Linked DNA regions of Saccharomyces cerevisiae S288C. The gene in region 3 interacts genetically with the main gene of each other region. Each region holds a gene or a part of one and is shown on either strand. Other genes may lie near its edges. The genes, in order: RSF2, FBP26, HSP32 and AMN1.

The links.
Region 1: mutations in HSP32 (region 3) and RSF2 together harm fitness more than expected from each alone (negative genetic interaction), as found in Saccharomyces cerevisiae (one large-scale study listed by BioGRID).
Region 2: mutations in HSP32 (region 3) and FBP26 together harm fitness more than expected from each alone (negative genetic interaction), as found in Saccharomyces cerevisiae (one large-scale study listed by BioGRID).
Region 4: mutations in HSP32 (region 3) and AMN1 together harm fitness more than expected from each alone (negative genetic interaction), as found in Saccharomyces cerevisiae (one large-scale study listed by BioGRID).

The regions. Positions count from the first base shown.
Region 1 is NC_001142.9:654,383-664,973, forward strand, and holds RSF2 (Rsf2p), read right to left. Parts: upstream 8,678-10,591; coding exon 4,535-8,677; downstream 1-4,534. Other genes in the region: ENT3 (Ent3p), read right to left, coding at 355-1,581; VPS70 (putative zinc metalloprotease), read right to left, coding at 1,872-4,307; YJR128W (uncharacterized protein), read left to right, coding at 8,539-8,898; EFM3 (protein-lysine N-methyltransferase), read right to left, coding at 9,618-10,591. UniProt on the Saccharomyces cerevisiae protein: Transcription factor that regulates expression of both nuclear and mitochondrial genes, and more specifically those required for glycerol-based growth and respiration.
Region 2 is NC_001142.9:128,785-132,500, forward strand, and holds FBP26 (fructose-2,6-bisphosphatase), read right to left. Parts: upstream 1,860-3,716; coding exon 501-1,859; downstream 1-500. Other genes in the region: SSY5 (Ssy5p), read right to left, coding at 1-168; retromer subunit VPS35, read right to left, coding at 2,317-3,716. UniProt on the Saccharomyces cerevisiae protein: Monofunctional, high-specificity fructose-2,6-bisphosphatase, which releases phosphate from the 2-position of fructose 2,6-bisphosphate. Has no detectable 6-phosphofructo-2-kinase activity.
Region 3 is NC_001148.4:7,900-15,116, reverse strand, and holds HSP32 (glutathione-independent methylglyoxalase family protein), read right to left. Parts: upstream 3,231-7,217; coding exon 2,517-3,230; downstream 1-2,516. Other genes in the region: YPL278C (uncharacterized protein), read left to right, coding at 1-64; FEX2 (fluoride transporter), read left to right, coding at 762-1,889; phosphopyruvate hydratase ERR2, read left to right, coding at 4,247-5,560; seripauperin PAU22, read left to right, coding at 6,690-7,184. UniProt on the Saccharomyces cerevisiae protein: Catalyzes the conversion of methylglyoxal (MG) to D-lactate in a single glutathione (GSH)-independent step. May play a role in detoxifying endogenously produced glyoxals. Involved in protection against reactive oxygen species (ROS).
Region 4 is NC_001134.8:550,720-558,698, forward strand, and holds AMN1 (Amn1p), read left to right. Parts: upstream 1-5,829; coding exon 5,830-7,479; downstream 7,480-7,979. Other genes in the region: HSP70/90 family co-chaperone CNS1, read left to right, coding at 1-209; SLI15 (Sli15p), read right to left, coding at 385-2,481; ICS2 (Ics2p), read right to left, coding at 2,824-3,591; IFA38 (ketoreductase), read left to right, coding at 7,966-7,979. UniProt on the Saccharomyces cerevisiae protein: Negative regulator of the mitotic exit network (MEN), required for multiple cell cycle checkpoints. Acts in the daughter cell to inhibit the mitotic exit pathway once MEN has executed its function.

The DNA.
Region 1 (10,591 bases), on a different chromosome or scaffold from region 3:
CAAAAATAAACGAGAAGGAAGGTGAGTTTTAGTTCATTGACTAAAAATGAGCAAAAAAAGTCAGGAGTTTTTGTTTTGAAGGGCACTTCAACTCTCGAACTATGGATTTACAGTTTCTTCCTCGTCTTTTTAAGTAAAGTATTTTCAAATGACCAAAATGTAAATAAATTTGAAAAGGGCCCTTCTTTACGAAAAAAAGATCAAAAAAATGTTCACAAACTATTTCACGAAATCAAGACAAACATATAAAGGAGAAATACAGTGGAGATTAGATAGTAATGTTCGTAATACCTGTTACAAAGTACTTTCTATTGTTATAAAACATTTACATATTGTGTAAACCAATAATATCACTCAAAAGGAAAGTAAATCGATTTCTTTGGATGATGTATGGTTATTATTGGTATTCTGTTCTTGTTGAACAGCTCCACCATGCATTTCACCAAATTCGTCATCATCATCTTGATCTGTACTTAGTGCAGTTGTGCTATTAGATACAGGATTAGAGGCAGCGGCTTTCGCTTGGGATGCTTTAGGAGCACTAGGTGCTTCTGCAGATGCCTTTGCAGTTGAAAAGAGAGAGCTAAAAGGATCTACTTTTTTAGGTTCCGCAATAGCTGGGGTAATCTTGCCTTGGTCGGTAGTGGAGCTGTTATAAAAAGGCATTGAACTCGTGGTGGCGGGCATACCCTCAATTGGGCTCGTGTTTAGCAAGTTAAACGAATTAGCAGGGTTGGTAACAGGGACGGCGCTTTGAAATTCTGAAAACTCGTCATCATCGTCCTCTTCTTCGTCCGCCTTCTTTTCATCTTCTTGTATGAGTTCTTTAGATGGTTTTGAAGACTCACTAGAAAAAAAGTCAACAAAGTCCTCTGGTTCTTGTTTTCCTTGCCCAGGAGTAGATGTGGCTCTCGAGGCATTATCGTTATATCCATTTTGACTAAAAGAACCATCTTCGTTATCTTCATTGTCACTATCGAAATCAGCACTCACGCTAATGCCGTGCACTTTCGTTGACGTGAAACCTGCCTTCGAATTCAAACTGCCATCAGCAGAGGCAGATCCTCCAGCAACGCCCTTGTACTTCTTTGCCGTTTCTCTTGCCTTTTTTCTTTCTGCGCGTATCTTATTATCGTCGCTCAATAATTCAATCAAAGCTTTGACCCTAGTTCTGACATTAATTCCTTGATCTCTTCCCTGGGAATCAATATAGTGAAAAGTTTCTAAAATCCTAATTAAGTTAATGCTATTCCTTGTATCATCGATAAACCTTTCAGAACCGTGTTTGATAAGGTAATCGAGCAATTGCAAGGCTTTATAAATTTGCCTCCACTCACTACCTGCCTTTTCAGTGAACCTTCTGAATATCATGGACAAAATTTCTTCTCTTTCCCTGAAATTGTAAGTTCCTTGAGAAATCTGGTCCATTAAAGTGGATGAGGCACCCCAAGGCTCGTTGTTTGTCGCTTCACGAACTTTCCCCTCCATCTCAGTATAATTGAAAACAACATTTTGAGCTTTACGAAAATATTTCTTGGCGTCATATAATGACATGTTGGCTAATGTATCCTCTAAACTCATTCTTCCTAACACTAATTAACGATGTGATCTCCTATCGACGTCCCTACACCTTCCTGAATTGGTAATTTTTGCTTTCCTCAAATAACTGTATCTACAAATCATTTCATGATTCTTCTAGTCCCCTTTTACTTTTCCTAATCACCTCGCACAACGTACGGTGTGACATGTATAAGAAATTGAAGCCATGTTTATAGAGTATATACAAAAAAGCCTCTCATGGTTATTATTCAAAGTCACTCTACGTATGCAAATAAAATAAATGTATATACTGAGGTGAGGTACTTAAATGCTTATTGAAGTAAATAGCGAACGTTGCTGAATTGGCTTAGCAAAATGGTTAACCACTGAATGACCTCGTTTCTATCAATATCAGCCAATCCTTCGTGAAGGCCGGGCAAAACTTCCCCGACAGATCCCTCAAACTTACTAGGTGCTAAAAGAGAGTACTTCATCCATTCCCTGTCTTTCAGTCCTCTGTGTGTAATAAATAATTGATCAATTTGCTTTGATTTGCTATTGGATCGTTGCAGTTTAATATAGCTCTTGATTTTTTTGTAAAAAGCCCAAACAGGTAAAGCTTCCCTACACTCTTTATAGAGAATACCATTTTGTTGGTCAAATTGGATGCTATCTTCCTGTGTGGCAACTTTTAATAAGTCCAGAACCCTTTTTGCTAAGCTGTTCACTTCATCGTCCTGGGGAAATGCTGAAGATAGATTAGAGTGCCATGCGATATACCAGTTATATATTTTCTTCAGGTAAACATGTGTATTGAATCTTGCCAGTTCGTTTTCACTCAGCATCAGCGTTGTCAAACCTACAAACATGGCCATGGTGTTGTGTAACTTGTAGTCAGAATTGGTAAATTTTTCCAACCAAGTTGGGCTATCGAATACGGAGTTACTATGATAGACTGCGCCTGAAGTATCATTGGCATTAAACTGAAAATGTGCAGCGGGCACTCCAAGATGGTACTGAAATGAAGTGTAACTAGACAACCCATCAAGTAGAGAAATAGTGGCATTAGAAGTGTATTTCCAATGGTCGAACAATGACCAGTCTTCGTGCCCATTAAATTCCGTGAGCTTAGCAGCTTCGTATATCACGTCTTGTAAAAGTGGGTTGGCTTTACAGTGAAAATTTGTCCCAGAGATTGCATTATCTAGATTTAGGTATACCAAGGCCCTTCTCCTGAGAATCGCAGCATGAGCTTCTGCATAATCTGTAGATCCCAGAAGGCCGGATCGTTCACCATCCCAACTTATTAGTTTGATAGGACGCAGTGGCTTCCAACCATGCTTAAGTAATTTACTCATTCCTCGTGCAATTTCTAAAAGAATAGCGCTGCCACTATTTGCATCACCGGCGCTACTCGAGGCGAGCGAATCCCTATGAGCTCCGATAATAATCTCCCCCTCAGTGAATATACCAGGGATACTAACCTCTACACTACTCATTTCCTTGATGTTGTAAGTTAGCTCATTATGCAAATGGACTTTATCGATAGAGCTTGAAGGTCCAGTGAATGATCCAAAATCTTTTATATTACTACCGGGCCCAATTTGAAAACCCCTGCCATTCAATCTTTCTAAAATTGGTTGGACATCTCTAGCACTCATCGGCACCGATGGTATCCTCGGCACTCTCCCTACCGGTGACATATGTTCAGTGTCGGAATCCTTGGAGGGATACCCTGGAGTTGTCGGATCTCCTGGAGTGTCACTGAAATAGTTTACAGAATCTCTCCTAATATAACTTGGGTTTCTTGCTGGTCCATAAGGATAGTGTAAAAACCCATTTTCCTCAGTAACTTTACCATCGTCAAATGGGTCTGTATATATAATGACACTGGAAGCGCCATAAAGTTCTGCATTCTTTACCTTTAATCCAGGTAATATTTTACCCGATCGTACGATGTGGATTTTATCTTCAATATCAATGTTTTTCTTCAAAAGTAGCTTGTAATCACTGATGCTACCATAATTGCAAAACACGTATCGAGCAGTTACACTTCCATTTTTTGAATATTGATGGAAACCCTTTTGCCTTTTCCTAGCGTGAGAAGCAGGATCACCTTTAACTCTATCCTCGATCATGCTTGCTTCGTAGACCACTTTACCATTTTCTAAAGGAGCTACGTTAGTGTCTACTGGTTCACCTATCCATGGGTAATATTTTTCAACTTTGGGTTTGTACCCCATATCTAGAAACTCGTCCAAGGTATATTTAAACGTTGACGAATCACTTGCTCCGTTGCTCATGTACCCAGCATACTTGTATACATGTTCTTTCGCTCTATTTTCCTGTTGCAAGGAGTTCAAGTATATCCTATAAACCTCTGCATTCGTCAATCTGGAAGAGTGAAACCGCCGAAAGTCTCTTGATAAAGACGTCCTGGGAGCAAATGCGGCAACAAATCCCATGTACAAAAGGAGACTCGCTAGAATCAAGTACATAAACTTTTCCTTGTCCATATGTTCTTTCATTATTTCATAACCACTAACAATACTAGATATTGTATTACTTCTGCCTCTATTCCTGGATGTTAAAGTGAAAGAATCATTCATGCTTTCTTCATTGTCATCGCGAGTGGTCTCGCCACTATATTGTTGTAATCCAGTGGCTTCGGCCTCATTGTCATCAGGGTCTGCCATATTAACAACAGTTCTCTCCTTTAATTGACCTTCCTCTTTCTCTCTCTTTCTCTCTCTCTGTATCATTCTCATATATCTCTTACATTCTTAATTGTGCATGTTGAAATTGTTTTAATAAGTACGGCCCCTTGCCTTGTCAAACCTTTTTACCCGGGCCATCAAACTCAAGCAAACTCCGAATGGAACAATGCCTTTTTGAAGCCTGGTGGTATATTATGAAAGTTATGATAGTTCTAAGCTTTAATTCTGTAAATACTATAGTATAGAGACGGCCGCCATTATATATTTGTAAATCGGACTTATATTCTAGTGTTTCTTTTTTTCGTAACACTATAGATAGCTCTTGATTGCAAACCATGAGCGAACGATAATATTATAGGCCAAATTGGCGCATCACCCAATATTTGAACACCCAAATATAAACATTTGGAGGATAGACTTGCCGCTACAATTAGTTGAATTGTCTCATTTATATCGGTATTCGGGTCCATGGCCCTTTGTGCTTGTTCTTCATTTAGTGCTGACAAATCTAGGGCATCCTTGTCCTGCCATCTTAAGAAATCAGTGTACGATTTCAACACATCACACTCCTTCGGTATCAAGTTCATTTGTAATCTTCTCAAAATCCTTTCTGCTTTTAGCCATAAGACACGGTCCGAAAAATCCAATAATGCTGAGTTAGGGTTGTTGGCATTGTACCCGCGTGCCCAATCCTCTACACATTTCATGTATTCCGAAATCACTAATACTGCAGTGAACATACATGTGGTCGCAAATACAGGAGTATTGAAAATTCTGCGCTTGCCCTGTTTAATGTACGTAAAAAATGAAGTCCACGCATCCACCATATTCAGTGCATACTCGGTAGCTTCCCTCAATGAACCCATGTCATAGCAAACTTCCTCCAAAGCTTTATTCATATTGGACCAATCTTTCAACCAGATTTTCTCAATAACATGTGCCAGGTCCAAACACCGTCTCATTTTGGCAAACAAATATACCGGAATTATTAACCTCATTGCTGGATTGGCGTTTATTGTTGACATGCTATTCTCGGTAGGTGTCAAGATGCCACCATTTTTCAAATAAAGGTTTTCCCAGTATTTTAACATTGTATCGATCCGTTGTCTGGAAGTCATCTTCCACTCAATATCGTCCAACTCAATGTTATTGCTATTGGTGTTGTTATTACTGATCCTTGCGTTATTTCTTTCAATAAGTATTTTCTCATGGATAGATATCAACAATGATAGACATGTACTTAACGAAACCCTAGCATTTCCGTAAAAAAAACTATCGCCTGTAGAAAGAAACCTCAAACAATTTTCATATGCCTCGTTACCATTAGACAATTCAATCAACGAAAATTTCGAATCTAACGTTATTTTGTATTGACATAATAGGTCCGACCATTCATCGGAATTTCGGCACTGATATAATTCTTCTTTATAGCATGGAACACCACATTTTAAATCGACTGAATGAAAACAGCAATCAGCACCTACCAGTGAAGAAAATAAGTTAGATATAAGTAATACCGCATGGCAAGTCCTGATACGTGACTGCGCCAATACAAAATATTGGTAGTTTTTGTTCATTTGATTCGGCGCGTTGTATTGCTCTCTTATTTTTGAAAACATATGAGGACTGTTTTCATATTCCATAATATGATCACTCTCAATAGGCGGCTGGCATAGGGACTCTAGGGGCAAATTTAAACGAGAGGCCTTCAAGAGACGAATAATAGTCGTCAACTGACCATGCATCCCCTTGATCACGGCTGTATTTTTATTGAAAATACAGTAGAACGTTAGCAATACTAATGTCTGTATAACCCATAACTCTGTCGTCTCCGGGTTTTTCTCACTAACTTTCAAGCTTTTCCTAATTTGGGTGCTAGCTGCATTAGCTAACACTTTTGCATGCGTCGAATGAAACCCATACAATGCTCCGACCATGGAGATAGATAATAACAAGGGATAACTGTCCATATTAGGTATGATAGAAGGAAGATGAATAAATGAAAAAAATGGATGGAATTCTTCCTTATAGTAAGTCACATAATCGTTCAATTGACTAGTTGTGGGGAAGGCTCCTGAATCGATATTATTGTCGGCTAGCATCATACTCCTTAGCTCATTGGTAAAAAGCACTTGAGATACTGAAGGGACAGAAAACGGAGATAACAAATCCGAAGGAGTAAGAACAGGCAGCTGTTTCTGTGTTGCATTAGAATCAGTTTCGCCGGGGAAAGACAAAGTGAGAACATCGTCGTTCACATGAGAATTATTTTGCTCTGTCCCGTTTAATACCTTGGAAATATCCAATTGCCTTGAGCTGAAAAAATTGGATAGATCGTAGTCCATCATGACGCTATCACGACGCCTCTTATGAGAACTATGGGAAATAGGGTCAGAATAGGAAGGCTCCTTTAGTTGGTTTTGTGGTGTACTTGGTAAATCTGTGCTTCCATTCAAACTCAAGTTTAAGCGAGGTGATAAAGAAGCTTTTTCATGATTTAATGAGGTAGCAGAATGGTTTGGAGGTGACTTGTTTGGTATAGATGACCTTGATGAAGGTGGAGAATAAATAAACCCAATGTCATTGAAATGATTGAAGTTGATCTTGAAGGTAGATTTTGGATCAGAGTTGTTAATAAACTCTGATAACCACTTGTCATCTATGGCAGCAGGATCGATATTACTATCCTTATCATTGGGCTCCATTGATGGTTCCAGTAAATTATTTGTGCCTGGATTGAAATTGATCGTGGAAGAGGAATCTGAAACAGTTGTTGGTGGGTTTTTAGGAGATAGTGACATAAGCGGCTGCTCATTGCTCATTTGCCTATAAGTTTGATTTGCCAAATTACTGTAACTATTAGAAGCCGTAGTAGAATTAGACGGTATAGTATTCGGGAAGCTTGACGGAAGGTTAAATTCAGAAACTGTCGGTTTATCATGACTGAAGCAGCCCAAATCAAATGGCGAATGGTGGCTAGACATGTATCCTCCCGCACCTGCATGTGCAGAGTTCATTGTCAAAAGATCGGTTAAAGATGGACCGCTACTTAAGAGATACACTCCAGGTGTAGCAACTGTACTTCCATTGTTGCTGTTCACTATGGTACTAGAGGTGGAATTTTGCTGTTGTTGTTGTTGTTGTTGTTGCTGTCCGGAGGGGTCATTGTTAAATAGATTTAAGTTAAACTTGATAGCTTGCGGTGGTTCGTCCAGGGTTAACGGAGGTAAATCCAATTCTGACACGCTTTCCATGAGCTGCTTCGCGGTCATTTGTGGAGTAGAAAAGCCGACTTGATGCGGAGCGTCTTCAACGAGCTCGAAATTGGTAATTGAATGGTGGGGGCTATTGCTACTAGACATGTAAGTCATTGCACTGGATGCAGAGAAAGACGCATGTCTTTTCGTCTTATGCATGGAAGAGGGAGTGTTCGCCCTGTCGATAACAGCATCGCTTGATGCAGAGTGAACTGGCACGCCTTTCGTGCTGAACTTGAACTCTCGAAATCCTAGGGAGCCTGCCTTACTAGGAGGAGTTTTCTCTCGCTTATCGTTCATTACTGGGGCCGAGACGGGAAGTTCTACATTATTTGATTTGGCCAAGGCAACCACGGCCTCTTTCAATTCTTCAGATGTCTTACCAGCAAGGTTCTTCGGGGTGGGTAGAATAGTCTCTTTATTTCCGGCTATTTTAATGATATGAAGGTCGGTTGGATCATCCGCCGCCACGGAATGGCGCCGCTTGGAGGCAAAAGAAGAAGTCGAATTTGGTGCTGGCGTCATTCGCCGTGGATCCCCCGTACCTACAAGAGCAGCATGAAGTTTTTGCTGATGCCTGAGCACTAAATCTCTACGAGCAAAACACCTACCGCAAAAGATACAAAGATACGGTTTCTCACGGGTATGCGAATGCTGATGTCTCTTCAAATGCTCCTGCCTGACAAAACCCCTAGTGCATGTGGGACACAAGAACGGTCTTGGCTTATCAGTCTTAATAATTCGAGATTTTTTAGGAATGGGCAGAATACCTTGACCAGCGGGCTTAGCGAAATTAGATTGATTACCGTTCACAAACATACTTGGCTCCGGCACTAATAAAAAATCTTTATCTGCCCTATCTATTCTAGTATCGCCAATGTCTTTTAGCTTCTTCGCCCTAAAGTTTCTTTTTGGTGCAAGAGTCTTCGAGAAAAACGTGTGTTGAGAGAGGCAATGTTTAACGAAGAAAAAAAACTCTATGGAAATCCAAGAAGTCCTTGTTTCTTTGTTTTCGTTTCTAATATATGCAGGGTCAAGCGGGAAAAAGAAAGACAGACGGAAAAGTGCCCAGCAACACGGAACAAAATTGTCCAGATTTATTCGAGCGGCCGCGGTTAGTATGCATAATGCAGGCGCCCCTCGTCCAAATGCGAACGGTTCCATCCGAAACAGGCCATTTCCCAAAAATTATTTCTCTTAATAGAAGTTGCTCGCGTAGTTACCTATTGTCGATGCCGCATACGCAGTTACCTTATCCGTTGCCCTACGGAGAATTTCCGCGATGCAGCACCGTGCGGCGAGATCACAATTTTCCTTGTACACTCTACTCTGCCCCTGGAGTGGTTCACCCCCGTCTGTGCGTATTTTCGTGTATGATGATATAAGGTCGTTACTACCGTTGATTCAAAAACAGTTGCTTCTTCCATATATTGTAGCACGAACAACTATGGCCGGCCGCAAATTGCGACAATTACACCTAACGCAGCATTAAGGTCGCAGGAAATGTTATCTGCCGAGCTGTTTATCTCTGTTTTCCAAGATTTTTTCAACCAGCCCATGAGTCTGCTGTTGGCGGCAACCCAGTTACAGATAATGGTGCATGTGATAAGCTTCGTACCACTATTCGTAGTTTGTTACATCTTGTAAGCCAGTATATATATTTGTTAGATTGTGCCCTAACGTTCCAGTAATTGAAGGGTAACCGAGGTTTCCGTGGAAAAAAACCGTGTATAAGCAAGAGGTTCCGAGCGAAAAAAAAAAGTATAAAAGAAAGCACAGGCAATGAGATTTGTTTTTCGCTTTTCCTTCTTATTTGTTAATTCTATTTTTGAAGTTTCCTTCCGAAAAAAAGTAACTTTGTCCTAAAGTACTAATCCACCGCATTAGACAGTACGAAGATCGAGCTATTTATTTGAACACTCGGTCTTATTCGTGATAAGCGTAATGTGGAGAGATCAATTTCCGGGTCATTTATAAGAACTCGAGTGGATTGCTAGTTGTTTTGATTAGCTGAATGAGACTCGAGTGTCAGAAGATGACTATATTTTTTTTCTTTTTTTTTTTAGTTATGTTTTATTTTTGAACTTGTACTTGCACATGTATCTTATTGTTTCGTGATCTTGTAGATCCGTATGGGTGCAATCAAAGGTTTGAATTGCAGGGCTTTCATCGCGCGGATCTCGTTGTTTGCGTCGTACTCTGTGCTGGTGACTATGGTACATTTTAGCCCGAGTTTATTGCACTCTTGAGAAAACAGTTGGACAGTGGATTCGCTTCTAATTGTCGCGGATAGGAGACACAGTTTGCATCGGTCTAAAGCAAGACATTCGGCCAGACACTCGCATAGATCAGGAAGGATAGTTGGGTCATACGTAACATCTGCCCCCACTACTAAATCTATATCCTCAGGAACTCTATCGCTGCCCCACCATAATCTTTGCAACTTGATGTCTGGTTCGTTCTCACGCACTTCATTGTTCAATTCAAAATTTCTTTTCAGCTGCGTCTCAACGAGATTCGAATCACCATCCGTGACGTACATCTTATTTACGAACTCGTGATACTTTTGTAAAATGACGAGACTCACTATGCCTGTGCCAGCGCCGACCTCAAGAACATTTAATTTTTTCTTGCCATCGTCTTGTCCTTGTACCGGTGCCAACTCTTGTAAGGGCTTATGAATAAGGAAATCACCCATGTATAAGGCAGCTTCCCATGTCCTGAAACCTGTAGTACTGGCCGCACTGATCAAATTCGGTGTTTCCTCAATTTTGATCTTTACGTCCTCGTCAAACCTGTACCTCACGACGTCTTTCATCATCGGGTCTGGCTTGCCTGTGCTTAATAGTTTTATGTACTTCTCATAGAGATAATCATATATCTCTATCTCGTCTTCGCCATCGTTGACAATTGTGAATGCCTTCGCGAAAATCCATTCGTGGTCTAAGAGCATCTTGACTATGGTTTTGCAATAATATGCATTCGTCTTTTGCACAAGTTCCATCTCACAAACAAATCTCGATGCATGCAGGACATCGTTAGATTTGCTTGTTTCCAACTCTTCTAGCAAGTATTTTC
Region 2 (3,716 bases), on a different chromosome or scaffold from region 3:
GTTTGCATTTTCAGGGTTCGTATCATGACTGTTTGGGTCTATTCTTTCTTCATTTCCAGATACGTTGCTAGACGACGTTTCTGCTGCGTTTTGTTCATTGTCTGCAGGCAAGTCTGTATTTTCCTTTTCTTCGTTCTTTTTCTTGTTTAAACCAAAAAATCTGACCATCGGTATATCGAGTTTACACCAGTACTATGTACATGCAAAAAGAAAGGAGGATATCTAGTATGTTTATTCAACCTTTATTGTATATTTACGTTTTCTGTACTGTATAATTTCATTTTCGAATCTTACTTTTTTTTTTTTACTCAAAAATACTTCCGCCGCGGCGTTCTACAATTTCACTTAAAATTAGTTTGGGTAATAATTACATACAATGCTGCAGACGTACATAAAAAACCATCAATGCTACGTTTCCTGATCTTTTCGTACATAAAAGATTGTGCGTATCAGCCACAAGTAAGCTTGGACTTAAGATACACAAAAATAAAAAGTAAAATTTAAAATTTGTCTTCCAAAGGAGAGTCATTGAGCAGTTGATGAAGTTTAGTTGAGCTTTGAGAAAGCTCACCTACTTGGCTTGTACCCTTCTCTTTATATGTACTCACTGCAGGGATGTTTGCTTTAATTTTGGTGACCTTTGTGCCATAGGCCCTAGGCTCCAGCTTGATCAATGTGTGTAGTGGGATTGACATCCAAGGGGATTCCTCCTGTGGAACGTTCATAAAATATGCATATATACACCGAAGTACGGCTTGATGAGTTATAATGAGAACATTTTCTTGGCGCTCCAATTCCATAATGACGGGCTCTAAACGAATCACTACATCTCTGTATGATTCTCCACCACGATATCTGTACTCGTATTTGTCATTATCACGTGCTTTAAAATCTTCAGGATATTCTTTTTCAATTTCCTCATACGTCATTCCGTCACAAACGCCAGCGTCTAATTCATCAAGTGCTTTCCATTGCAGTTTCTTATAGGGAAGATAATTTGCCGTTTGTTGTGTTCTTTTTAAGGTGGAAGTCCACACGGTCAAATTTATTTCTCCTGCGCTCTCTTTCACTAACTGCTCCAATTTTTTAGCGTACTGAAAGCCTCTTTCAGACAGTGATGAATCCCCGCCAATTTTTTTCTCTACGTTATAGATCGATTCGCCGTGACGGGAGAGCCAGATATATTTTGGTTTAGGACGAATATTCATAACATAAAATACAATCCTACTTTCCAAATATGTTCTGATCTTATTAATTACTACTTCTTCAATAATATTGACCAACTTAATGAACGTCATATCCTTATCTTTTTGGGGGTCCAAAGGTTCATAAAATCTTTCATATTGTCTAATTCTTTCCAAAAAATCAGCTTCCGCCACATGAGGTTCAGAGTTTTCATAATCAGGAGATGTGCTACCGATATCCTTAGCGTTATTTATAATCAGTTCATGATCGTTACTCCAGCTCTCTAAAAACATCGGTTGAATATTATTCTTTTCACATATATCTTTAAGCCATTTCCTTCTTTTACGTGTACTATTAGTAGCATCGAAAACTGCCACAGATCCGTCTTCTTTAGTAAAAAAATTAACAATATCTTTTATGGCATTTTGGGCAGCCAATTCTCTGAGTTTAAAATTATCTGTATTTTCGAAGTTAAAAAACTCAGCATCCATTGGGACATTTCCACTCACGTCTCTTCTGTAATTTCCCACATTAAAACACTTGGCTTTTATGGATAACCACGATAAGTACCTGATAATTTTTTGGGAAATAAAAGACTTTCCTCTAGCTGGTAGGCCAACCATTATCACACATACTTTGATATCATTATCGTTGGAAATAGTACTGTACCCCATGTTTCTTGTCTTACTTGATTCGGTTTTTGAGCCCCCTTTCCTTTATTTCTTAACAAACTTGCTTGGTGAATTTAAGAGCGAAGGGAAAGCAAAGATTATATATTAAATTCGTATCCACTGGCCAAAATGATACTTTACCTGATGTAAATGTATGATAAGCTATAGCTCTCTTAGTGGCGCTTTACATGTAGATGTAAGTTAGGGATAAGAATAGATTTGTGAGCGCATTGGCGCGACCCATTTTTTTAACACAGAAAAAAAGTAAAAAATAGAAATTACCCAATTAAGTGTTTTTATAGTAAACAATCCTTGATATCTTAGTTGAAAATAAACTCGAATTATGTACAAGTTTCCTTCCACTTAATCTATGATCCTTCTTTAGGTAAATTTTTATTAGCTTTATTTGTGTAGTTTTTTTTTATCTTGGGCATGTACGAAGAGCAAGTACGTTATTTAACTATACATATATGACTTTGAAACGATCGTCAACTTCTCTTTGACTTTCAATGTACTCACAAGTGCGTCGAAAATGGTGGATTGGGATATACTTCAGTTGGTGCAGTAATTTACTACCTGAAGCAGTTGCTACGACTCCGCGTATTAGCGTGGAAGATCCGTTCAGAGTATTTAATTGAATATACGTACCATCCGATCCTATGGCAACATTTGATTCCTTATCTGTGATTACAGAGCCATCGTCAGCATTACTGCTTGCCTTCACATTATTTTCTCCGGTGATGTGCAAATCACTGATTGAGTTGGTAATCATAGAGGCACTGTTATCTTCTAGTTTTAGCGATTTTAAGTTTGTTTTGATTAGTTCGATCAGACCATTGATGTATTTTATCGATATATGAGTTTCGGACTCATCCCCGTGAATAAAATAGTAGAGGCATCTATTTAATATTTCGACCATTAGCTCACAACTCTGTTCGTTATCCATTATAGAATCCGCCACACGGAGAGACCTTTGTAGACATTCTAACACCCGTTTACCATCTCTGTAGAAGTTGTCTGTGATACCTTCTTCCTCACCAATATTTGAAATTTCCGTTGCCCACCAGAGGTGGGAGCATAAATAAACAGCACGACATTGGTCTTGTTTCTTTAATAATTTGGATCCATGGAGTGTGCATCTGACAATCAAAGAATCATAATAAGCTTCTTTGTAGAGTGATCTTGTCTTTTGTAAAGACTGAGCAATATATATTAAAGCCTGTAACTGAGTCTTTGAATCACTTAGAGACTCTTCAAATATTGTGAAGGCCTGTGAGAAAAAATCATATGAAATTTCGTTTAATTGCAATTGATCAGCTAGAATGGCACATTGTAAATTCAGTTTCAGAATCAGATCTGTGCATGAGTTGTTGCAAGAATTAAAGATATCATTGATACAACGAGAAACAAATTTAAACATTTGCTTTAAAAGATTGGAATAATGGGAAAGTAACGTCTTGTTATCGGGTCTTTTTTTCAAAAGGTACTCTTGTATCATACGGCATTTCCTCATCAGTTTCCAAAAATTTGTGATTATTGCTGGAAAAGTGTATTTAACATTGATGCCACCTTTAATGAACGAAGATTTAATAAGAAGTAATATTTCCAATTGGGCTTCTAAGCTAAATTGAATTTTGTTTTTCATTGTTTGTTTCCGAGAAGTAGTGTTCATTATCCAATGAATCAAATGTGCCAACTTTTCCTGTATTGGGTCCAGTATCCAGGATTCTTCTTCATCATGTCGATTAAAAAACACTTCGTCTACATTTGTATCCGAGGATGCAACATTTGCGGGCGGTCCGCTTCTTGATATTATTAAGGGCTCACAGATTGAAAGCAGGCGCTGAACTTGGAGTTTGT
Region 3 (7,217 bases):
GGTTATTAACAGTAAACTACAGTGTATCAATATAAATGATTTGATGGTTAATCGTAATCATTAGCGCCTCATGTGAGCAGGCCATTGTGGGACAGTATGAAGGGTATGATTTCTAGATAATCCAATAATAATTATGAAGTTTTTGAGATTTGGGGTGATACACATCTATGAATTACTAAGAGATTTGAGACACAGCGACAGTCATGCCAGCAAGATTTAAGATTTTCTTTATTTAGTGTTTATATACATATCAGATATCTGTTGAGTATTTTCTATTTTACCAAAAAAAAAAGATATGAAATCAAGATAAAACGTCGTATGAAAGACAAGGGAGCTCAGCAGCAATATCATAAAGTAAAGCAACAGCGCTTGGTTCATGTACAATGAACGATCTGAAAATTATTTGGCAGCGGTGCTACGAATACATGTCGATATTACGTTACGATTGTCTAACAGGGGAGGAGAATCGTGCACTTTGATGGGTATATCGAAAAGATGGTGACTCTGCTAGAGTCACTGTCAGTGAGGAGTTGCGATGTATGAAAGATTCACTGACATAAAGTGGCGCGATTCATGTAGCAGTGTAAATCACTTTTGACGCAATGATGGAAGAGATACGGAAGAGATACGGAAAAAATAAAACAAAAAACAACTGAAATAAGTACTAAAGGATTATATTTATTGCCGCCATTATTATTTAGCGTCTGGTGGCTCAAGAATCTGCAGTTATTTAATTATTTAATCGAGCGTGTAATGCTCTGATGATTTTCAATCCGGTCATATCAAATCACAAGTTGAGCCATTATATTCATGTTTTTTGTACATTCACCACGTTCTGCATATTAGGTACTGAAACACGTCAGGCTATAACGGCGCTTTCCACCTACACTCCGGCCTTCGTTACTGCTCCGACCGTTCTCTGGTCTAATTGTTCATCCTGCATGCTAATGGGGATTATGCAATCTTTAAATGCTTACACTTGGATGAAAGATCACCAAGTCTTGTTTTTAGGTGTAACTACTGGGTACTGTGGTGCCCTGTCTTCCTTTTCTAGTATGCTGCTAGAGATGTTCGAACACTCTACAAACTTAACTAACGGTAATATCGCTAACCACACAAAACTGCCGAACAGAGCTTACGGTATAATGGAGTTTTTATCTGTCTTGCTCGTTCATCTTATGGTTTCCATGGGTAGTCTTATTTTCGGTAGGCAACTTGGTAAGGAGGTTATTGTTGCTTATGGATCTAGTTCGTTTTCGAAGCCATATACCCCTCCCTCAGACACTGTAAAGGAAAATGCTGGTGATGTTGATACACAAGAAATGGAAAAAAATATTCTAGAGTTTAAATTCAAAACTCCAGCACCATTTTTTAAGAAATTTTTTGATGTTGTGGATAAACTCGCGTACGCACTAGCTTTTCCATTAATTATTTTGTTTGTGGTGCTGTGTGCGTATTATGAGAACTATTCGAGGGGCAAGTGGACACTACCATGTCTATTTGGAATTTTCGCTGGTTTCCTAAGATATTGGTTGGCAGAAATGTTTAATAAAACAAACAAAAAGTTTCCATTGGGTACTTTCTTGGCAAACGTTTTCGCCACTTTATTGATTGGCATATTTACCATGGTGCAACGTGGTAAAAAACACTTTTCCACGGATATTCCAATTGTGAACTCGTTGAATTCATGCCATATTGTTTCTGCGTTAATATCCGGATTTTGCGGCACTTTGAGTACCATTAGCACGTTTATCAATGAAGGGTATAAGCTATCATTTATTAACATGCTTATTTATTATACTGTTTCGATTGGAATTTCATATTGCTTATTGGTGATAACTCTCGGATCCTATGCTTGGACTAGAGGATTGACTAACCCGATTTGTTAGGATCTTTTCTTCATACCTTTTCCTGCACAATCATCCCACCTTTTTTTTTTTTTAATTCATTTTCAAGATTTTAGACGTTGTATAATACATTTTTACCGACTACTGCGGTTTATTGTAATATTTTGTGAGATTTTATGAATGCGTTCCATCATCTATTTACTACAAAACGATAAATTTCCCCGTTTTCTTTTACTTTTACTTCATTTAATATAATTCATATTTATTTCCTATGTACCAATTAATTACTTCTAAAAAGAACAGAAATAGAAAAAAGTTGTATATAACAAGCCAAAAAAAAGAAAAAAAAAGGAAAAAAAAGAAAACACAGCTTATTTCAAATTGCAATCTGCGTATTTCGTAAGTAACGAATGATCTCACAGCATTGCTTTTTTTTTTTTTATATATATATGTACATTACCTATGTCACATATGACCATGATGAGTACAACACTAAAAACCAAGGCCTACTATTCAATTGTTCTCTATATGATTTCCATTCTAGCAAAATCGAGTGCTACCGACCTGCCGTTTTCTTTACCTTTCGAACCATTGAGCTGTTAGCCTTCTCTTCACAGAAACTGAAAGCCATTAGAAGCCTCCCCTTCAACAATTCCCTTGTCTTTTGTTTCAGCTATATAATGCGTTTATAGCTCTAATTGTGGTCGAATAGGAAGAATTTGCGTTAACACCCGTAACTAGCTTTCCATCTGTAATAGAGTAGTCATCCCAGGGATGGATTGGCGCCAAGTACTTGGCTCCATTCTTGTTTGCAACGCGTTCAACCGTTGTCAATTTTCTGCTCCTCAAGATGTCGTCAACTCCCAGGGCGATTTCACCCTCGAGTGGGAAACCTGTTATAGCTTTGCCTTCGATTAATGGTCTTGTTGTTTTGATATCTATTAATCCATCGAAAAGGAGCGGTCCATGACAGATGGCAGCGATCACACCCCCATTGGCATATATCTTGGATGCAATATCTTGCAGATTTTTAGCTTTGGGATAGTCAAATAGAGCACCATGTCCAGCAGATGCAAAGAATATTTTATAGTCGCTGGCGTTGACTTCATTTGCGGTCTTGATCCTCGCTAACGCCTTATTGAAGGCGGAATTTTTCGTTTCAAAGTTCATCTTATCTTCGCCACCAATAAAGCTCTTTGGCAAGTAATGTTCATCCCAGCCAAATCCACCAGTCTCAGAAACGAAGTCCACTTCGAAACCATGCTTTTCGAAAGTATCGAACGACCGCAAAATCTCAACTACAAAAACGCCTGTTTTCGCACCATCTTTATAGAAGGGACCGTGGTATGAAGTAAGAGATATTAGCGCTCTTTTTGGAGTCATTGCAAGGCCAGTTTTCTTTTTGAATGAAGGAGAAAAGTGTTCTAGAAATATGTTTTAGTTCTAAGTATCGTTGTCTGGAGCAAGCAAAGAAAAGCAGACCTGTATGTGCAACTTTCCTCTTTTCCATTAAAATCTCAAGAACCGGCCCCTTGACTGTGCTCATATATCAAGTATCGGTTTTAAAGTCCCCTAATTGTGATAATTGCAAGAACAACAGTCAAAAAGATATTTTTCTTTTCTTTCTTTTTACCTATCCTTCATGAAAATACCTATGCTGATACTGAATATCTTCATTTGCAGCTATGCAATATTTCAGATACCCCATTTTACCCAAGAGTTTCTTACTGGTGGTTGGATTTTCTTTAAGACGAGAAGATTACCAGTCCTGGATGTTCGTGAATGTGCCTATTGCGTCATCAGCGACTCCGCGCCAAGAAAAGAAATACTCGCATGCTCGGATTTATAGAATCGCATAATGGAAATACCTTCCTTAAAGGATGGAGATAAGGAAAAAATGACAAGAACAAGGAAGTACTTGGGAGCTTTCTCCGACATGGTAAATATTTGAAACTCACGCAGCTCTCCTGGAAAGTTGGATCTGGAAAGGTAAGGTTGTTTTTTTTACAGACATCAACCAAAATCGGTTCTTGTAGTAGACAATGTCACAGATCGCCACAAGTTGAAAAAAAAGTTTCGATGAACTGGATAAGGGGAGAGGTCACAAACAAAGTGTAGGGGGTGAGTAGTATAGTGGTAACTTGTTCATTTACCTAAATAACATTCTCACTAGAAAAGAGATATTGAAAGACTCCTCGTTTACCTAACTTGGCTGGTTCTTAGGTATATAATAGAAACATGGATCTGGCAGGTTATCACTTACAGTTTGCACTCCCACCAGGTTACAATTTTCATTATATATAGTTATTTTTTACCACCACTTCTTCTTCTTTCACTTTGTCTTGCAATAGAAATACCAAAACAAGGTGAGGAAAAAATCGAATCTCAACGATAAAAATATGTCCATCACGAAGGTACATGCTAGAACGGTGTATGATTCTCGCGGCAATCCGACTGTTGAGGTTGAAATTACAACAGAGAATGGTCTCTTCAGAGCGATCGTCCCATCTGGTGCCTCCACCGGCATTCACGAAGCTGTTGAACTTAGAGACGGGAACAAGTCCGAATGGATGGGAAAAGGGGTGACCAAGGCAGTCAGTAACGTCAATAGTATCATAGGGCCTGCTTTAATCAAGTCCGAATTATGTGTAACCAATCAGAAGGGCATAGACGAGCTCATGATATCGTTAGACGGAACTTCTAACAAGTCAAGGTTGGGCGCCAATGCTATCCTTGGTGTTTCCTTGTGCGTTGCTCGAGCTGCTGCCGCACAAAAGGGAATTACTCTCTACAAGTATATAGCCGAGTTAGCGGATGCTAGACAGGACCCCTTTGTTATTCCTGTTCCTTTTTTCAATGTTTTGAATGGTGGAGCCCACGCCGGTGGCTCTTTAGCTATGCAAGAATTCAAGATCGCGCCAGTCGGGGCTCAGAGCTTTGCAGAAGCCATGAGGATGGGTTCGGAAGTTTACCATCATTTGAAGATATTGGCGAAGGAGCAATATGGACCTTCCGCTGGAAATGTTGGTGACGAGGGTGGAGTTGCCCCCGATATTGACACTGCCGAAGACGCCTTGGACATGATTGTGGAAGCCATTAACATATGCGGTTACGAGGGTAGAGTGAAAGTAGGAATCGATAGTGCTCCTTCTGTTTTTTATAAGGACGGGAAATACGACCTAAATTTCAAGGAACCGAACTCTGACCCATCTCACTGGCTCAGTCCAGCCCAGTTAGCAGAATATTACCATTCATTGCTAAAGAAATACCCAATCATTTCCCTGGAAGATCCCTACGCCGAAGATGATTGGTCCTCGTGGTCTGCCTTCCTAAAGACTGTCAATGTTCAGATTATTGCAGATGACCTGACATGCACCAACAAGACCAGGATCGCCCGTGCTATAGAGGAGAAATGTGCGAATACTCTGTTGCTGAAACTCAACCAGATCGGTACTCTGACTGAGTCTATTGAAGCCGCCAATCAGGCTTTCGATGCTGGATGGGGTGTAATGATATCGCATAGATCAGGTGAAACCGAAGATCCGTTTATCGCTGATTTGGTCGTTGGTTTAAGATGTGGTCAAATTAAATCGGGCGCTTTGTCGAGATCAGAAAGACTGGCCAAGTATAATGAACTTTTGCGTATCGAAGAGGAACTGGGGGACGATTGTATATATGCTGGTCATAGGTTTCATGATGGAAACAAACTATAAAGGATTGTCTTGTTTCCTTTTTTTTTTTTTTTTTTTTTGTTTTTTTATGACTAAATAAAGTAAATCATATGAGGTTTTATTTTTTATTTCGTTGATTTGGGTTACAGTATGGAAATGGGGCATTTGACACAAGTTATTTTATTCATATGTTTTATCTTGTAGGAAATCAAACCGTTTTTAAAGTTTTCCATTGCCTACACACAAAATCATTACGAATCTGTCTGAACAAGGGTGGACGTGTGGGGGAAGGCTGTTCCAATCAAGAAATGCTTACAACTCTACTAACACTGCAGTTTTTCAGCTTTCTGATTAATCTCTTCGGTTTAAATTTTTTAGCAGCTATTACTTTCTAGTAACCCTTATAACGCGGTTGGTATCAAATCTTCCTGATAGTACAAGCAGACCTTTGACCCCATTCTTGTTGTGTCTTGAAATCTTTTTTTCTGACAAAAGTAAGAAGTTACACCATAATAGAGAAGTTAAATAATGAAAGTGTATCGATCATAGAAATGATTTTATTTTTTTCAACTACTGTTACGGTCAAGAAACTAATACTGAGGATAAGTTTTCGCAACAATGATTTTGGTACAAGTGATTTAAAGTCTTGAATTACTTCAACACAATTTGCTTTGCGACGGTTTAGAATAACGTAATCGTATCAACGAATCCACTAGGCGCGCGTAAAAATTACAGACTCTAACAATATACGACTCCCAGCACATACCTACTATTCTGTACAATTCCGGGAAATAGGAGGGTACAGTATTATTTTTTCTCGGCGATCGTTTAGGGTATACTGGAGATAGGCTTAGCAATACGCTTCTGAACGAGGATCTATAGCAACTAAATTCAGACATTCTGCTATACCAAAAAAGGAAGTATCACAGGCACGGAAAAGGGTTTTATAAGGCACCTCGGCACCCCTATAACTGGCATTCTCACATTCGGCGCATACGAATAGACAAAGGCCCCAGAAAACAATACCTTCGCATACAGAATCTATAAAGATGCATGCCTCGTTTAAAAACAAAAACATCTTCATAGTGATCATGAAGTTGTGGGAAAGATGAGATATGGAGAATATGTGAAGTGCTAAAGGAGCATCTGTTAACGAATCGTTTAAGTGGTGATGACCAATGAAGGAATAGGTATAAATAGAGATACTTCAACTATATGCCTTCGAGAATATGTCTTTATTCATTTCTTTCCTGTTAAGCTTATATCAGCACTAACAAACAAAACAAATACAATGGTCAAATTAACTTCAATCGCTGCTGGTGTTGCCGCTATCGCTGCCGGTGTTGCCGCTGCTCCAGCCACTACCACTCTATCTCCATCTGACGAAAGAGTCAACTTGGTCGAATTGGGTGTTTACGTCTCCGATATCAGAGCTCATTTGGCTCAATACTACTTGTTTCAAGCAGCTCATCCAACAGAGACCTACCCAGTTGAGATTGCTGAAGCTGTTTTCAACTATGGTGACTTCACCACCATGTTGACTGGTATTCCAGCTGAACAAGTCACCAGAGTCATCACTGGTGTCCCATGGTACTCTACCAGATTGAGACCGGCTATCTCCAGTGCTCTATCTAAGGACGGTATCTACACTGCTATTCCAAAATAGAGAGAAGCTTTTACGAACGAAATTCCATAGACA
Region 4 (7,979 bases), on a different chromosome or scaffold from region 3:
AGAAAGTGTTGGTGTTCATGGAAACAAAGGCAGGTGGTTTGATTAAAGCTGGTAAGAAACTGACATTTCACGATATCTTGAAGAAAGAGTCGCCAGATGTACCATTGTTCGATAACGCTTTGAAAATATATATTGTGCCAAAGGTAGAAAGTGAAGGGTGGATTTCCAAGTGGGATAAGCAAAAAGCCTTAGAAAGAAGATCTGTGTGAAGTGTCAAATAGTTAAAAATATGTAACGCAAAGTTGTAGATAGAAATAACAAAGCAAGAAGGAAAAGTAAAGAAAGTGAACGATATACGTAATGCAGGGGGAATACCAGAGTATTTAAAGTGTACTTGATTTAATGTTAACCAGTTTGAATTTTTCTTTTCTGGGGTAATCGAATTCAAGACCTTTTGGGCACAATTTGACGCGGTTTCAACCTGTTTAGCCTAGGATTTGGGAAAATTTCATCGGTGTGCAAAGGCGGAATTGGTCCAAAGATAGTTTGTGGATTTATATCTTGCTGTCTTATCAATTGCTCTTGCAAATACGGGGATTTAGCCCATGCCGCTAAAGTTACGCTAGCCTCATCTTCAGAATCAGTATTTATCTCTGGTAAAGAATCATTGACAGAGGCTATCTTTGGGGTCACATTTCCGATTATTTCTCGATGGTCAACTGTATTTATTGTGGCCAATATATTGTCGGTACTAAATGCAGTATTTTTGTTGATGGTATCTCGCACATGATTATCGAAAGGAGCCAAAGATTCTTTTAGACGTATGTCCTTGTAGTCATTACTAAAGCTTGTTTGCTTTTTTAGATCTTGTTCCAAATGCGACATCCTTTTTTGTTTCTCTTGTTTACGCCGATGATGTTCCTGTTGAGACCTCATAATTCCTGATAACCTTTTATCAAACTTTTTTTTTAAGTCATCTCGTTCTGCCTCTGCTGGTGGAAGTAATTGAAGGTTTGTAAGCCGATAATTTTTGGATTTACGAGACTCTGGCTTGGAGATGTCAGCAATATTCGGAGAAAGTTTTCTTAATGTTTTCTCTTTAATTTTCAAACGATGTGGCGTTTGCGACGTTGTTAAATTTTTATTTTTATTAGGCGAAATAGACGCTTTTGTTGGTCTCAAATAACCTCTTACAGGGCTTTGGTAATAATTTTTAACTTCTTTAGATGGCGAGCTTGAATCGACACTTATTTTTGTTGGAGAAATACTGTGCGGTCTTGAACCAGTTTTATGAACATCACTAGAGTGTTTGGACTTCTTTTTCTGTTCTGCAATGATTGCTAGCTTTTTGTGTGTCGTTAGCTTCAAAGAAGTCTTATCAAACCTCGGAATAGAGGATTTTCGAGAGTTTTTTCCTTTGGGTGAATTATTTTTGGTTATTTTATTTTTTACTGAGAATATATCTCTTAACGCTTCTTGCATATCAGTATCCGTGGAGTTTATTGACTTAAACTTTTGAGAAACTTTTTTCATGGGGGAGCCTGTTAAATCGATTGATGAAGAGGAGTATTTGTGACCAACGTTTCCACGGGAAATTTTGTTTTCAAATGATTTTGTTGGAATAGATGATAGCCTATCGAAAACACTGGATGCTTTTGTAGATCCCGCGGTATCACTGTTTTCCACAGCTCTTATAGCAGGACTATTTATCGTAGATTTTTTTTTAAATGCGATTGGTGATTCCTTTACTGTTCGTACTTTTGGTATTGATCCTGAAGATTTTGTTGGTGGAATGTGTTGAATAATAAGAGGATCTTTATTCGGCAGTGGAACAAACATATTCGACCTTCTTTGAGATCTCGCTATCCCAGAATTCGGTGGTGGTTTCACCTTTACTGATTCAGCTTTCTTTAAAGCTTGAAGTATAGGTTCATTCTCCATTTCTTCCTTAGCCGCCCATGTTTGATTATCGAAGCGTTTTGTATTAATCGGAGACTCCGAAGTCTTGGAGGATTCTCTTAGAACCTTTTCAACTTTGTAAGGTGACCATGGTGAGGATTTTTCGCTTTCATTGGCGTCGACTTTAACGCTATTCAATGGCTCAACCGGGCTTTTATTGGTATCATGTATACTAAATCTATTCATTCCTTCGGTGACTTCCTTCCTGCGGAGTGATTTAGGCGTGATACTTTTATCGTTATGTAATCCATTTCTGGGTGTCTTAGTAACGTCTTTTGCGGCATCATTCTGGGAGTTAGAAAGTTCATATTCTCCTTTCATTTTAGGAAATTCGACATCCATTTTGTTATGCGTATTTTCGGGGCTAATTAAAGACTCTTCCATCTTTTTGTCTTCATACTTGAGTGTATTCATATAAACATTATTTCTTAACCATTCACTACTTTCGTACAATCGTTGATTTATTTCTGAATGTGCATCTGTTGTTAGATTATTTAGATCATCGAGGGTTTCTATGATTGAACGGGTAGAGCCTGGCTTCCTTTGAGTTTTCTTCCTAGCTGCTTTGATTGCCCAGTCCATTGTTTAAATCTTCGGGCTCTTTCAAAGTCCGTCAGTTGAGGAGATACTTTGAAACGTTTTGTTTGTATCATTGGCAATACTTGAAACGAGTTTTTGTTTGTTTTCTTTTTTTAGTTAATTCGCGAAATTTAAAATATGAAGATCGGTTTCAGAACAGAATGGATCAGGCTTTTCCGCGTATAAGAAATAATAACACTGACATAACGCTATAACGAAACAGCGTAACAAAATACTCTTTACATGGTTTATTTTTATATATTCATTTAACATTATCAAAACTAACATTAAGTCCTTTATTTATCAAAACAAACGAAAAAAAAAAATGCGAGACAAATGATCCAGTCATTTATTGTCAATATCTAAGTCAATTAGTGGTTGCAATATGTCTCCAGTTTCCACTTTATGAGCAAAAATTTTGCCCTCAATATTTATCTGATTTTTTTCAGCGAATTCTTTCAAACTCCCGAATCTACCGCTTGCGTTTCTTCTTAATTGTTCATTGGTATTCATGATTGTGTTTTTCGGGGACATTTGGTGGGTATATGAAGTATCCGGTGAAGAATGATATTCTTTGTCCAAGAAAGAACTTGCCAATGAAGTTTTTCTTGAATTGACGCCTATGCTTGAATTAGAATCGTACCCGTCAATGAAATTTGGCTTACAAGACCTGCTGAATGAGATTGCATGACTTTTTCTGTGGTAACTTTTCCTTCGCCCTGAAGGCTTTGTAAGTTCGTGTGATAATGAACGTGAATGCGAATGTGATGATAATTCATTACTTTCTACCCTTAAAGGTGATACCGCATTAGGCTTTCTTGGACATATGGAGGAATTTCTCCTCGTTTTCACACCATCCTTGTCTCCAGGGAAAGAGTAGGTCTTCAGCTTGTTGAACAGAGCTTCGCCTTGAGACTCTTCAAAATAAAAGCTCTTTTCGTACTCATGGGGTTGTTTGCTGCTATCGAACTGAGATTCTGTTGAAGAGAGAGAGCTGAAACGTCCATAGAGTGGGCTGCCAAGTGATTTAATGGATGTACTAGATTGACTGCCCGTAGTAGGAAAACTAAATGTGCTTATTCTTTCTCTTTCTTTTTGCTCAAATTTGCCCATATCTTGCTGGAAAGGGAAACTTCAGTGAAGTAATAACGAAGGTGGTGTAGAGTATAAATTTTTATTAAGTATGCGCTTTGACGTTCACATATTTGTAAAAGATTTATTTGAGAAGATAGAATGGGTCTCATTTATTTATACTTAAATGCTTCTTTGGATGTCAAGCTTTCTTGATGCCGGACTTGCAGTCGAAGGGCTCTTTCCCAACAGATATGTAACCAAATGCGTCGAATAGAAAAAGAAAGTCTTCCAAGGAAAGTTTATTACGAGGGGTTTTGTGCATTAACGTGGCATATAATTAGGTATAAACTCAAGGTTGGCTTAAGATTAGCGAAACAAAAGTATAAACGACCCAAAATTGGAGTGGATGTGTTCTTTAACACATAAACTGTCGTACAAAAAAAAAAGAAACAAAGAGCAGTTGAAAGAACATCAAGATCATAAGGACCCCCATATCGTGATAATCATTGATGACCAAATCGTGAACTCCCTGCGCCTATGCCGTGCCATAGCAAATAAAGTACTGGGCTGGATTGTTAATGACTTGCATATTAACGACAGGTAAACGGTACCCTATTTTTCTTTTTTACGTGCTACGGACGAAAAGTGAGGGTGATTAACGCTTCAAATAAGAAACGACGGCTAGCAGGGTCTAGATGCGTGAGATGAGATAAGGAAAAGAGCTCTGTGTCCCAGGTAATAATCCCTGGAGAGATATAATCTTCCCTACAACTTGATTGCATATTAACGCTCCCAAGTTGTGGCCATTGAAGAGCTCTACAGCAATGTCCCGACGAACGGAAATAACCCTCTTTTTCATGATATTTTCGGAGTTATCTCCACTGTCAACAACTATTCTCGAATATAACAGAATGAAAGGGATCACGTACGCTTGTTATATTGCTGTCGTTCTCCGTTCGCAATCCCATTATATGCGAGGGGCAAAAGAAGAGACGGCCGGTAACTCATTTTTTGGTGTGTGAGAATTGCGGAAGCTTCGTTCTCCCACCTTTTTTCGCTGTGTTTTTCTTGTCCTCAGCACCGGCTGGTCAAGCCGGTGCTGAACGGCCGGAGAGAAATATAAACGGATGAAAACGTGTTAATAATTGCATCAGTAGTAGGTGGCGGGGTTGTCTCATTTTTGTTATGGCGTAAGGTGAAAAATTGTAAAGGATTGGTTCGGTTGGGTTGGCGACAATTAATTATGGGATAAAAAATTGCTTAATCTTTATTGGAGCAATTACCTGCATAGGCACTCATAGGCCACAAGGGTTTGATGGCGGAAGGATGTTATACCTACGATACTACCATACATGTGATATGTCACTTTCTAGTCCGAAGCGTGGAACATATTATCTTGTTTGACGTTGTGGGTGTTAACCGTAATTGTCTGGGTACGCCGAAGGCACGGAGACCATGTTAAAATATGTTTCTCTTTTTTGCTCATTTTTTTCTATTTTTTGCTGCGCATTGCCCGAAGCTTTTCTTAGTGGTAGTCTGCTCTCGCGCTCTTTGTTACACTCGCAAAATTTTTTTGCTGGGCAAAATAAAGCACTCTCCGGCCATTACTGGCTGTCGTCCGCCAGGATTTTCATTAACTTGCAGAAGTAAACAAACAAAACACAATTATGACACCGTGGAAGTTTCCTAAATGGTAACAAAAAGCTTAATTGAAAGAAAGAATTTCCTTCAACTTCGGTTTCCTGGTTCCGCTATTTCTCGCTTGTTTCTTCTATTGGACTTAGGATGTCTCATCAATCATCTTATTCCTGCTGGTGTTTTTTGTATCGCCTTGCCTTGGAGTGTTTATGCTTGTCCTTTGTTCAGTAACCATTCTTCAAGTTTGTTTCAAGTAGTAGGATACCTTCAGATATACGAAAGAAAGGGAGTATAGTTGTGGATATATATATATATAGCAACCCTTCTTTATAAGGGTCCTATAGACTATACTCTTCACACTTTAAAGTACGGAATTAAGGCCCAAGGGAACTAACAAAAACGTTCAAAAAGTTTTAAAACTATATGTGTTAACTGTACAAAAATAACTTATTTATCATATCATTTTTTTCTCTGTTTATTTCTTCTAGAACTTATACCTGTCTTTTCCTTTTATTCTTTGAATTTGGTTTAATATCCCTTTTTGGTTTAATATCCATCCATTCCTTTCACTTAGAACTAATAATTCCCTTCGTTTGATAATTTATCATTTTCCTTTTCTGTTAGTAAAGTACCCATTAAATGAAACTAGAACGCGTAAGCAGCAATGGCTCCTTCAAAAGAGGTAGAGATATCCAGTCACTTGAATCTCCGTGTACTAGACCGCTGAAAAAAATGTCACCTAGTCCATCTTTCACATCTCTTAAAATGGAGAAGCCTTTCAAAGATATTGTAAGGAAGTATGGAGGTCATCTTCATCAAAGTAGTTACAATCCCGGCTCAAGCAAAGTGGAGTTAGTAAGACCAGATTTGTCTTTAAAAACAGATCAAAGTTTTCTTCAAAGTAGTGTGCAAACTACGCCTAATAAGAAAAGCTGCAATGAGTATCTTTCAACTCCAGAGGCCACACCATTAAAAAATACGGCTACAGAAAATGCATGGGCAACCTCTCGAGTTGTTTCTGCATCCAGTCTTTCTATAGTGACACCAACGGAAATTAAAAACATTCTTGTTGATGAATTCTCTGAATTGAAGTTAGGGCAACCTTTGACTGCTCAACATCAGCGAAGTCATGCGGTCTTTGAAATTCCTGAGATTGTGGAAAATATCATAAAAATGATAGTTTCTCTAGAATCTGCAAATATACCAAAGGAAAGACCATGCTTAAGAAGAAATCCACAATCTTATGAGCACTCTCTGCTTATGTACAAAGACGAAGAGAGAGCAAAAAAAGCATGGTCAGCAGCCCAGCAGCTACGAGACCCACCATTAGTCGGACACAAGGAGAAGAAGCAAGGGGCCTTATTTAGTTGTATGATGGTTAACAGGTTATGGCTTAACGTAACAAGGCCTTTTCTTTTCAAAAGCTTGCACTTTAAGAGCGTCCATAATTTTAAGGAGTTTTTACGAACTTCCCAGGAGACGACACAAGTAATGAGACCGTCTCATTTTATATTGCACAAATTACATCAAGTAACACAACCAGATATAGAAAGGCTTTCCAGAATGGAGTGTCAAAATTTGAAATGGTTAGAATTTTACGTTTGCCCTAGAATAACTCCCCCATTAAGCTGGTTTGATAACCTCCATAAACTTGAAAAGCTTATTATTCCAGGCAATAAAAACATAGATGATAACTTTTTACTCAGACTATCACAGAGCATACCAAATTTAAAGCACTTAGTTTTAAGAGCATGTGATAATGTCAGTGATTCAGGTGTTGTTTGCATTGCTTTGAATTGCCCGAAATTAAAAACATTTAACATTGGCAGACATAGGCGTGGAAATTTAATTACGAGTGTCTCACTGGTCGCGCTAGGCAAATACACACAGGTGGAAACTGTGGGGTTTGCCGGTTGTGATGTTGATGATGCCGGTATTTGGGAATTTGCTCGATTAAATGGCAAAAATGTTGAAAGATTGTCTTTAAATTCCTGTCGTCTTTTGACTGATTACTCTCTACCCATTCTTTTTGCTTTAAACTCATTTCCAAATCTGGCTGTTTTAGAGATCAGAAATTTAGATAAAATAACTGATGTGAGGCATTTCGTGAAGTACAACTTGTGGAAAAAATCATTGGATGCCCCCATTCTAATCGAAGCATGTGAACGTATTACGAAACTAATCGATCAAGAAGAAAATAGAGTTAAGAGGATTAACTCCTTGGTTGCCTTAAAAGATATGACAGCTTGGGTTAATGCAGACGACGAAATAGAGAATAATGTGGACTAGATGGTTTTTGTGACTTTACCTATAAATAGTACACAACAGACCACCAGTAATTCTACACACTTCTTAACTGATAATATTATTATAATTGTAACTTTTTAGCAGCACTAAATTTAATGAATACATAGATTTTTAACTAGCATTTTACTATTCTGTACTTTTTACTTGAAATTCCAGAAGGGCCGAAGAAACCAGAATTCCTTCACAGAAAACTATTGAACTACAGAATTCTCCAAAAGATACACTCATAGTGTTAAGACGAATCAATGTCTCGGATTTGGAAGTCCTTTATAGAGATAATTGTAGGGGCCTTTTGTAATGTTTCGGATGTTCTGTTTTAAGTCCGCGGGAGGCCTTTTTATTTTTCGCTTTTTTAGAGATTTCACGAATAAAAGCGTTGCAGAAATGCAACTTCAAAAGAGACTGAAGGAAACACAGATAGAAGAACAGTCTTCAAAGCAATCAATTCGTGTCGGTGCAGCTTAAGAAATGACTTTTATGCA